Caenorhabditis elegans: one gene and its partner. The protein of the gene in region 1 interacts with the protein of each later gene in a pairwise test. Each region holds a gene or a part of one and is shown in the gene's direction. Other genes may lie near its edges.

The links. The genes of interacting proteins can lie anywhere in the genome.
Region 2: the proteins of hpo-28 (region 1) and F42H10.3 interact in a two-hybrid assay, tested with the Caenorhabditis elegans proteins (one large-scale study listed by BioGRID).

The regions. Positions count from the first base shown.
Region 1 is NC_003281.10:5,706,208-5,711,148, reverse strand, and holds hpo-28 (Major sperm protein), read left to right. Parts: upstream 1-1,824; 5' UTR 1,825-1,825; coding exon 1,826-1,933; intron 1,934-1,978; coding exon 1,979-2,141; intron 2,142-2,193; coding exon 2,194-2,277; intron 2,278-2,328; coding exon 2,329-2,477; intron 2,478-2,522; coding exon 2,523-2,633; intron 2,634-2,744; coding exon 2,745-2,870; exon of another isoform or gene 2,871-3,145; coding exon 3,146-3,304; intron 3,305-3,496; coding exon 3,497-3,672; intron 3,673-3,717; coding exon 3,718-3,917; intron 3,918-3,969; coding exon 3,970-4,397; 3' UTR 4,398-4,432; downstream 4,433-4,941. Other genes in the region: B0336.12 (uncharacterized protein), read left to right, coding at 1,004-1,087.
Region 2 is NC_003281.10:8,482,492-8,488,897, forward strand, and holds F42H10.3 (LIM and SH3 domain protein F42H10.3), read left to right. Parts: upstream 1-1,661; 5' UTR 1,662-1,666; coding exon 1,667-1,836; intron 1,837-1,886; coding exon 1,887-1,971; intron 1,972-2,495; coding exon 2,496-2,588; intron 2,589-2,635; coding exon 2,636-2,732; intron 2,733-4,151; coding exon 4,152-4,250; intron 4,251-4,915; coding exon 4,916-5,029; intron 5,030-5,208; coding exon 5,209-5,402; intron 5,403-5,475; coding exon 5,476-5,631; 3' UTR 5,632-5,874; downstream 5,875-6,406. Other genes in the region: Splicing factor ESS-2, read right to left, coding at 5,965-6,328.

The DNA.
Region 1 (4,941 bases):
AGTTGAGTGCATTGAAACAAAAGAGCCAGTAGAATTATAATCTCTAAATGATACACTGATAATAATAAAGAACAAAACCTAAAATGGACAAGAAAAAAGGAGGAACCAATGGGGTACGATAATGATCAAAAATTGGCAGCAGCAGCCAACAGGCGTTGCGTACGTATCTCGGCAAGCGGCAGTGTGTGTGGAAACACTGCGCATAAATACGAAACATGGAAGGAGCGAGGAGGACTAGACAAGAAATACACACGGGCGGTCGAAACAAACTGGTCTCCGTCAATGTTTTCTGGACTTCCAGGTTACCGTACTCTTTTTACACGCGGAACATTGTGTGTGGTGATTGATTGTCAAAGAAAAAATAACTGATTGATTCTGACGAATAGCGAAAGATGGATTGGGATGATGATGATGATAAGATGAAACTGAATGTCTAAATATAATTGGCAATATTTTTGATAAAACCTTGTAACATACCACCGGGAAAATGTAAAAGATTAATTCCTAAAAACTATTGATGGTGAATTTTCATCGATTTTTTTAATAATTGCCTTCATTATCGGAAAGAATTTGTGGGTTTATTGTTCTATTTCAGTTTTTTTTTTCTTAAATAAATACATATATTTTTTACGAAAAACTATGAAAAATCGATGCAACTCCCGTATCAACAAAAGTCTAGAGGTACAGTACTCTTTAAAGGCGGACGTATTTTTGTATTTTATAAAAAGACGTGTCGAGACCAGGCACCTTATTTTTGAAGCAAAAATCGAAAAATCTGGGTATTATCAAAAAAGTTATTTTTATTCTAAAATTACGAGCTTTCATATTATTTTAGGATCACAAAACGGCGCAAATAGAAATTCGAAAAAAAGTAAGCTTTTGAAGTTAATAAATTTGAACTAGACCAACTTGATCGTTAAAATCTGATTGTATTGATTGGAAAGTACTATTCTAAAATCCGGATACTAAAAAAACTAAAAATTAAGTAATTCCAGATGTCAAAATGTTGCGAGAGAAGAAGGAAGCATCCTCCGCTACAATTTCGAAAATCAGATCCAACATGACAGCCAGCGAGCTTCAGAGATAGAGACAACGCAAAAAAAATCGCGGCATGAGCAGCACTCACTGAAGGGGAGAAAGAACTCACACTCAAACTCATTCATTTATCCGCCAGCACCATCCATATCGTTCCTATTTACTTTTTCTTTCGCTTCATTTTACAGGTACTCGGAAATACTTTCTTTTCGTTTTTTACCCGCTTGTCTCTTGAGAAAGGCGAGTAGTACATTGAATAAAACGTCATTTTTTAGTCAGGGTTTGTTTTTTCTGATCTCACATGCCAAAACTCAAACATTCAGTTTTGTTATCTTGATGTAACTTAATTGTTAACTTAAACTCAATTATTTTTACCTTGCTCAACTCCTACATTCTAAATTGGAAGCTATTCCGTTCGCCTCGCTTTTGTTTTCTCGTGTGGCTTCTCTTCTTCATTTTTCATTCTCTGGGGCTGGCAATTGCCGTTGCTCTCTGTGCTCTACTCATCGTATCAAGCTCTTATCACAATTCGTTGTAATATCAGATGAAATTCATGCGCCCCAATAAAAAACCATTGGATATTCACAAATAGTTCCGCTTTGATATATGATATATCAAAATTCGAGGTTGTAAAAATTCGTTGTGATTTACCAGATTGGATTTCTAACAACGTCATTCGCATTTAACCAAAGAAACTTTGCCAGATTTTTGTATTTACCTGAACTTTCGTTAAAAATCGTTTGCACAATTCGAGAATAGCTTTTTTCGGATTCTAACTATCTGTTTCAGAATGGTGAGCGATATTTCGAACTCTCGAATACTACGAAGACGAAGTTCTACATTCACAGATCCAACTAATTTATTGGCAGTTCATGAATTGAGATCGAGAATATTACAAGTAAGCATTTAAAATATTGTAGACATTTAAAAGGATTAAATTTAGGATCCGGCAATATCAGTAAAGCATCTATCAGATGACGTTCATAGGATACGTCACGAAGACTGGTGGTTAGACAGGTTCTTAGGATCGGTTAATTACGATGTAGATATTGCATATGCAATTATGTTAGAGTGCTTGAAATGGAGAAGAAACTTTGAAGTGGACAGTAAGTTAAATAAAAAATAAAACCTCAGATGAATTTAACAACAATAATTCAGGAATCAGTCTGCTGTCACTCAAGCCATTACTAGATAACCAACTGATGTATCTTCACGGAAAAGATTTACAAAACCGGCACATGTGTGAGACGGCAATAAATATTGCAAATGTATAATAATAAATGTATATTCCAGTATGGATCATGATGAACAAATATAAAAATGGAGATGACGGCTTCGAAAAGCTGTTTACATTTTGGATAGAGCGTCACTACATGGAATACAAAGGATGTCAACCATTGACCGTTTTCATTGATATGACTGGTACAGGACTCAAGAATATGGTAGACACTGGGTAGTGTACGCAGAGACTGAAAAATGATTTTCAGAGCTTTGACGCAATGAAGTTTATTATACATTCCTCCAAGTATTATTATCCAAACTCAATTGAATCGATTTTGATTTTTGAAAATCCAGCGATCTTGAATGCTTCATGGAAAGTAGGTGTTTTTGTTTAAGTTGAAATTCTGACTTTATCAAAAGAGAGATTTCACACTGAAATTAGATACAAACGTTTCCCATTTCACTCTCACAATGCGAAATTGTTTCAGGTAATCGGATCTTGGCTAGAGTCTTCAGCTGCGAGTCAAAGACACGACTTACTCACATTTGTCACCAAGCTCAGTGTCACTCATTACGTACCAAAAAGTCATCTGTTGGAGCACCAAGGAGGCACCGTAAGACTTTTTTGCTCCGCTTCTTTTTTTACATTTTCATCCCGTCTGTGTACATCCATCACCAGTTTCGTTGTTTCCATGAAATAGGCCCCATTTTCCATCATCTTGTGTGTGCAGAGGGGGCCACTTGTGTTTAACACTACTCGCTGAACCCCACCACTGGCGATACGAGAATGAACTCTTTCGTGTTGTAACAAGCGGCCGGCTCCTGAGCCGCCTTTCTGACCAGCGCTCCCCGGCTGTTTCTACTCTTACTTTCATTGGTTTTTTTGAAGGATACTTTCAAATTCACCATGGACGAGCTTGCCAAATGCCTTCCACCACCACCGCCACCAAAACCTTCACCAAAATTACTTCAACAACGAATGCACTCTATCGACGATTCTACAAATAACAACGTAACTGAATTTGACTTCTCGTCGTTTCAGAAAAGAGTACGTTTCTTATATTTCTCATGAAGAATGTATTTTAGATGTAACGAATTACCTATTGCCAACATTTTAAGACTGACACTATATAACTAAATTAATAAGATTTTCAAATCTTGGGAAAAGTTGAGTATGCATAACTTGACACAATTTAGGGTAAATTATTTGGTAAGACGTCTAATTACCACCTAATTTTAGAATGTCAAGTTCGACGAGGAATCTACAACAAAACGAGCTCCTTCTTTGTCCAGAAGATCAAGTCGCGGACCGAAAAGCAGAAAATCGCATATCCCACCATCACTTCGACCACTTATTGAGAACCGAGTTAACGCACCAAGTGACGATTGGTCGTCCAATGACTTTGTGTCAATAACGTAAGTTTGACTTTGTGTGATACTTGAAACATGGTGTTCTTTCAGTCCGAGAGATGAATTACGACTTGAGAAACTCGACGGAGAAAATGACTTGCTTGATGTCGTCCTTGTCAAGAATCAGTCTTCGGACACACCGATCATGTTCAAATTCAAAACAACTTCGCCTGAAAAATTCCGCGTTCGTCCTAGTTCTGGAATAGTACAGCCTGGAACTACGGAAATCATCAGAGTTTATCTTCAATATGGTGAGGGAAGAATAGGAATGATATGATAAAATAATATTGCATAAGCTTTTAGAGTACCGACACTCGTGGAACAAAGAAAAGTTTCTGCTTCTTACAATGGAATCGTCATCAACAGACGTTGAAAGCTTCTCTGAACAGTTCAAATCAGCAAGCAACAAGGCAGAATTCAAATTCAAATGTAGATTGTCAGAAAATTTAAAGCTTGATCAGCCAGAGGAAAGAAGATCAAGCTTTCTACTCCAGCAGCAACAATTATTGAGCAAACCAGAGGGATTTTCTCTCGGAGGTTTCAACATCTACTTGCCTATAATAACTCTTATTCTCTTTCTGTTTTTGATCTTTCAATTTTCCTACATCCTACAAATGAGATCAGATAATGCATTACTCAGGGAAACCCTAGTTTCGCTCTCTTCTCAAATTAAAGAGGCTTCTGTGCCACTTCAGGAAACAATTGTTGAAGCTGTTAAAAATGAACTCTAAATGTTATGGAAAACGTGAATAAATGGTTGATTATATCAAAATGTCCTACAAACAAAGAGAAGTATAAACCTTACAACAGGAATTGGGATAATATTTAGTGCCAACCAGAGTTAACTGAAAAAAACACGTCCAATGCTGTACATTTCTACCGCGAAACCTTGAAAACCTTAAGATCCGCCAAGAAAACAATAAAACTCGTACAAAAAACGAAAAAGCAAGTCAAAAATAGAAGAGCAAAAGCAAGAATAACAAACTTCAAAATCAAAAATAAATCGATTGGCCTCGTAAATCGATGTGACCCCTATGGGTCTCACACAGAAGAGACGAGCAGCGAATAGTTGGCTGAGTATCAAACGTTAATGCGTGTGGGTCTCTTTTCTCTTTTGCGTGAAGCGAATTTTTTCCATTTTTTTTTCGTTTTGCGGTGATTTTTCCATTAAAAATTACTGAAATATTGAAAACTTAAGGAAATGTGGTGTTATATTTGCCTATTTCACATCGCCATGCAAATTAATAAATTTAGGATGTTTTTTCGTCTATATTT
Region 2 (6,406 bases), 2.8 Mb from region 1:
CAAGGATTGCAAAAAACCAAAATCATGTGTTCTTGGGTAAATATGTCTCTTTTCTGGTGCCTAAGCCTGCGGTTTATTCAAATTGCCTAGAAAAATTTACAAACAATTTTAAACAAAACTTACAAAAGTTTTTCAACGTCGTTTTTTGCACATTTTTCGAATTCCGTTCAGCTTCAATACATTTTTTTTCCAAATTGGGTTTCAATATAAAAAAAAAACGTTTGAAATTTCATACAAAATGATGATGCATCATCAACATGTTGTATGCACGGCTTCTTCCAAGTGTTCACTTTTCACTTTACACCGCTTCCCCATCTTCTCTTCGCCGCCGGCTCCGAGGATGCGACCCGTATCTTTCTTATGTGGAGGGAGCTATTTTAAACTCAAAACTACTTTTTCGAAAATGAGCTTCTCAATAGACTAGTACCCTTTGCTTCGTCTTCTTCTTTTTTAATAGTTTCTTGAGAGGTCATCTACAATCCTTTTGAACTACTTTCAAAAATGGACAGATGCCTGCTCATTTTTTTGAAATTTGGACTCATTATAAAAGTATTATTTCGTAATTTACCGAACATTTAAAACAAAAACTCCTTCAAATCAAAATAATTTTTCCGGTTCTCTGTAAAATTGAATATTAATTGAAGCAAAAACTATAGTTGGGCTCCGAAAATCGCAAAAAAAGAAATGGAGGACATTTAAATTTTCGGGAAATATTATATATATATATATATATATATATATATATATATTATTAAATATTATTATATTATTCATATCGCCTCCACTACACTTTTGTTCATATATTATAATACATTTTTCATTTTCTTCCCAAACCAACAATACGTTTACCGCAACTTAATCGTTTGCCAAAACAAACCAAGTTCCCTGATTTCACTGATATGTGTGATAACAATGTGAGTATGGAAAGTCAAAATGAGCACAAACATAAATGTGTGAGAGTTGTGTGTAGTGTCTTGTCGGGGAGTGAAGAAGGGGGCTCCATGAATAAATAACACATTCTTCTTTCCCGCTATTTCTCAATTTTTTACCCGAAATCTTTGTACAATCACCCTATCCGCCCATTTCATCCCTCGTTCGTTTCTCGCCTCGTTTACTTTTACTCATACATTTTTTTGTCTATCCGTCATTTTCCTACCATTCTACATCCAACCTAACCTAACCATTCAATTTATTTACTCTATCTGTCTATGTTTCTTTGTTTCGCCTTATCTATCATTTATGCCATACAACTTTCGTTCCCGTCCAAGGGTGAAACTTTCCAAAAAGCATAGAATTTGGAAAGTATTTCCAAATTATAAATTAAAAAAAAATTTTGTTTTGTCTTAAAAGTTAGAATTATAAAGATTAAGGTTCAGCAAAGATAATACCTCAAATTGACAGATTTAATATTAAAATTTTCCGAAAAACCCAAATTTGATTTATTTAAACTGGCAACTTTTAATTTTACCACACATAATTTTATAAACCCAAAAATATATGTTTTTATTCTGATAGGGTAAAAATATGTGACAATTCTCAAAACTCTTATGAATTTTACCAATTTTTGCCAATTTACAAAAACATTATTATGATTTCTATTTGTATTTTTTTCTAGTTTATTCAAATATCTTCAATCTTCATATTCTACAGTTTTTATTTCCAGAAAATGAGCAAAAAGTGTGCTCGCGAAGATTGCGGGAAGACGGTATATCCAGTTGAGGAACTGAAATGTCTTGATAAAGTTTGGCACAAGCAATGCTTCAAATGCACTGTTTGCGGAATGACATTGAATATGAAAAACTATAAGGGATACGACAAGAGACCGTATTGTGATCCGTTAGTTTTTATGAGAATATTTCAATTTCTAAATTTTCAACTATTTTCAGACATTATCCAAAAACCGTGGCTTCAGTGATGGCGGATACTCCAGAAATGAGAAGAATCGCAGAGAATACTAAAAATCAGAGTAACGTAAGTTTTTGCAAAAAATTTAGAGAAAAAATAAATCGTCTCCCCATAAATCTCATTTATAATTAAAAAATATAACATTTGAGAATGTTATCCCAAAAATTGTAAAGAGTTTTTAAAATTCTTCCAAAAAATATCTGTAAAATATTTGTAAAATCAAAATCAAAAATATTATAAAATCTACACAAATAAATTTTGTCGAATTCGGCACTTAAAAAATTTGTAGTGGTGTCAAATTATGGATTCTCAAAAAAAGGATCTCGCCACGGAAACTACTGTAAATCAAGTTTTCTTGAAGAGTTCTAATATAATGTTCATCTTAGTATATAATGAGAATTTTCCATACTAAAAATGTAAAAATTAACTCAAATTTGAGTTTATAAAATATACGAAATTTTCAAATTCTTCGAGTTTCCAAAATTTCGAAAAAACACAAAAAAAACTATAAACAAAATAGCTAGTTTTATTCAATAAAACCTGCTACTTCCTATAACTGATTTTCAAATTTTCATAATCTGAAATTTTAGATCAAATACCACGCCGAATACGAGAAAATGAAGGGAACAAAGATCGAAATTGCTGATGATCCAGAGATGGAAAGACTGAAGAAAAATACTCAGGTTGGAAATAAATTTTTAAAGATAGAATAGAATAATGCTATTTTAAGGTTCAATCAAATGTTTCCTATCACGGAGTTCTCGACCAAAAAGCTCGTCAAGAAGAAGTCCGTCCAAAAGAGGAAATCTCACCAAACCCAACTCCAAGTAAGTTGTTCTTCCATTTTGTTGTCCCCATGGACTTGAGAATTGTATCGTCCAAGTTATGTCAAAAGTCTTGCACGGGAAAAACTTTTAATTCTTTTTTCAATTTTCCTCACTTTTCTCTTATTGTTTTTGTATCGCTTTTTACTGCCAGTTTATCAACTGGTCACTGGAAATGGAGGAGTTGTGTATGGAATTGGAGTGGCAATGGTTCAAGAAACTGAAGAGAAGTATGAAGAAAAAGAAGTTGATGAGGAAGAAGAAGACGATGATTATTGGCAAATTCCGGTGATTGTATATCCTAGATAGAATTCGCTTTTTTTTTAGAATTAGTTTTCAATGTTTCTTTTTTCATATTTACCATATTCTCTGAAACTGTACTGGAAACATTTTGTACACTTTTGGCACATTTTGAGGGGAAATATGGTATATCGATATCTAGATTAGATACGTTTTGTTTGTTTTCTTCTACCTCATCTTTGCTTTTTTCAGCTAGCCATAATTCTAGAGCAGATATTTATAATCAATCTTAAAGTGTTCTTGCTCAAAGCTGAAAGAAAATTACTAAAGACTCTCGCTTATTGAAAATTGTAAAAACTATGTGGGACAAGTTCTTGCCAAATTTTGGCAAAAGTATTAACTTGGTTGTTGCTCTAGGTCGCGCCAATATTCAGTCCAAAATTGGTCTAACAATATATATAGCCAAATTTGACATGACAAATTTTGAATCAAATATTTTTATCAGGATTAGGTTAATCTAAACTTAAGTTTTGTCCAGATTTGGACTAAACTTTGCCAACTTTTCAGCCAGGTACATACTTTTTTAGGCCAAACAGATAACAGAGTTTTCTTCTAAAAAAATAACACTGTTTTTAAAGAAGAATATCTTAGATGTTCTACAATTGAAAAAGCAAACTTGCAGTGTTGTTTCTAGAAAGCTGAATTCTTCATTCAGTTAGTATATAGAATTATAGAAAACTTTCCAAAATGGCTTTGAGTGAAAATACTTTTTAGATTGAACTTTAATTTTCAACTTCTTTTCGTGTCATATCAATGTCCTAATGTTCACTTATTTCTCAAATCTCTTCATTTGTTTCATACAAAATACACCTTCAGGTGTTGTTGTTCCACCACAACCCACTGAGCCCACTCCAGCTCCATCCGTCCCAGTTATTGACCAAAAGCCGAAAGCAGTCAAATCGACTTTTAAGAAAGGGCCAGCCAAAACTGTTAAAGCTTAATTTTCCTTTCAGTTCGATTTCTGATCATGACTATTATTTTTCTATCTATTCAAATCCTACATTAACCATGACAAACTGATTTTTTCAATAAAGAATACATTTAATTAAAGAATTATTTCCAACAAATCAATCTTCTCCATTTTTCAACTCACTTTTTTTTTCCACTAACCATTTATTGCAGCTCCAATCTCTCCAATGAACCATCAATCATATTCGGCTCCAACACAAGCAGTAGCCGCAAATACGCATTTGATCTACTCAACAGAGCAAGGTGGAGCAGGTTAGTTAGCAATTGAATTGATTAATGAGCATCCAAAAAGAGCACCTTGTGTATTGAAAAACTGATTGAATGCCTATAAAAGTTATTGCTGATTTTGTTGCTGATTTTTGTACGGATACATTATTTGACCAAAAATTAAGATAATGCTAGGTCTCAGTCTAAGCCTAGCCTAAGTCTAAGCCTAAGCCTAAGCCTAACCTCTTAAAAAGTTACAATAAGGTTTTTCCTTGCGCTTGGAGCGCAAAAGAAAAGAAAAAGAGCTATTTAGACTTAGGGTGCCCAACTGGAATAAAATATAGGAAATCCTTATGACACACTTAAGCCTAAGGGCCCGAAAAAAAACTAGGATGCCCAACTGGAATAAAATATTGGAAATCCTTATGACACACTTAAGCCTAAAGGGCCGAAAAACATACTAGGATGCCCAACTGGAATAAAATATTGGAAATCCTTATGACACACCGGCGGTATGGCGCGGCTTCAGCCTAAATAGCCACTTTTATCGCGCGTCAGTGGGGGAGCTAACGCTCCCCCACTGACGCCAAGCCTAAGCCTTGTCTAATTTATGGTATCTAGTTATATAAAGTCCAAATTTTTCGTTGTGCTTCATGTGTAATTTTCTAAAAGCTTTTGTGTTGTGCATTGTTATTTTTCTTCGCTTTCAGTATCTCCAACACCACAAAAATCAATCGGAAGTATTGCTGACTATGATCCAATGAACGGACAATGGGGTACAGCTGCTGCTCAACCGAGAAATTCCGAGAAACTTGGATATTTGAGTAAGGATTTTGTTTTTTTTTTTGGCTTTTGTTTGAATGATTTGCTCATTTGTAATCCACACAAATTTTTTGCACGTTTTGGTACTTATTAATTCGTTTTGTGGAAGAAATAATCTTTTAAAAAGCTCATTTTGAATAATTTTGATCTGTCATTAATTGAAACTAACCGCTTGTTGCAGAGGCTCAAGTGGATAAAGGTCCGGCAAGATTTTGTGCGGATTTTGCAGGAGCTCCACCTCCATCATCAAATAGTATATCTTCAACATCTCCACATTCAACACTTTCTTCTCCACAAAGCACAATTTCACCGACTGGAAAAGCTGGATTTGCAGTTAAGGCAATTTATGATTACGCTGCTGCTGATAAAGACGAGGTAAATTTAAATTAGGTTTTCAACCAGTTTCACGATGAAAATTTATTCAACCATCTAAAATATTTGATTCCAGATTTCATTCCTCGAAGGTGATATCATCGTGAACTGCGAGAAAATTGATGATGGATGGATGACAGGAACAGTTCAACGAACTCTTCAATGGGGAATGCTACCTGCAAATTATGTTCAACCACATAAACTTCCTACCGGATTGCACCGACTTTCTTAATATTTCCAAACCCACGCACATTTTCTATCTCTCCATGACCTGCTCTTGCTCACACATTTCCCCTAAATGCTTCAATTATGCTTCAGGCTTCTGCAGTTATTTTTTCAACTTTCTGAAAATCCCACAAACGGGTTCTGTTCACCTTCTGAATGCCTTTTCTCCATTTGTTTTTCAATCTTCTAAAATGTTATATGGTGCTGAAATTTAAAAATTAAAAATTATAATAAATGAATTTACTATCAATTATTAGGCCATTGTCATAAATAATAAACCGTGTCTATAAGGCACATGAGAACAAAATATACAGATCTAAATTATACTAATCTTATAATATTAGAAAAAGTCTCCAGCATTTGCTCTATCTGCAGCTCCGGCTGATGTTGAAGGTCCGACGTTATCCCCTTTTCTTCGGATCATAGATTCAATCCCAGGTGTGCCAGGAGTTTGTGCTCCTTGGCTCCAAGATGATCCAGGTGTAGTAGAACCACGACTCCATGCAGAACCAGGAGTTGTGGATCGCTTTGAACTTGACGGTCTTGACCAATTCGACATGATTTTCGGCGAGGCGAAAGGAGATTTGTGAGCAGGTAACATTTTTAATCCAAGCTTCTTGGTTGCCAACTTTTGAGCAGCAGGAGATAATTGTGCAAGCTTGTCTGAGACTCGCTTGGATCCAAATCCAGGTGTTCGGCTGAAACTTTACCAAGTTGAAAATTATTTGAAGTACTATTATCTCGTTATAGATTTTAATACCATAGAGAAATATATTTTATAA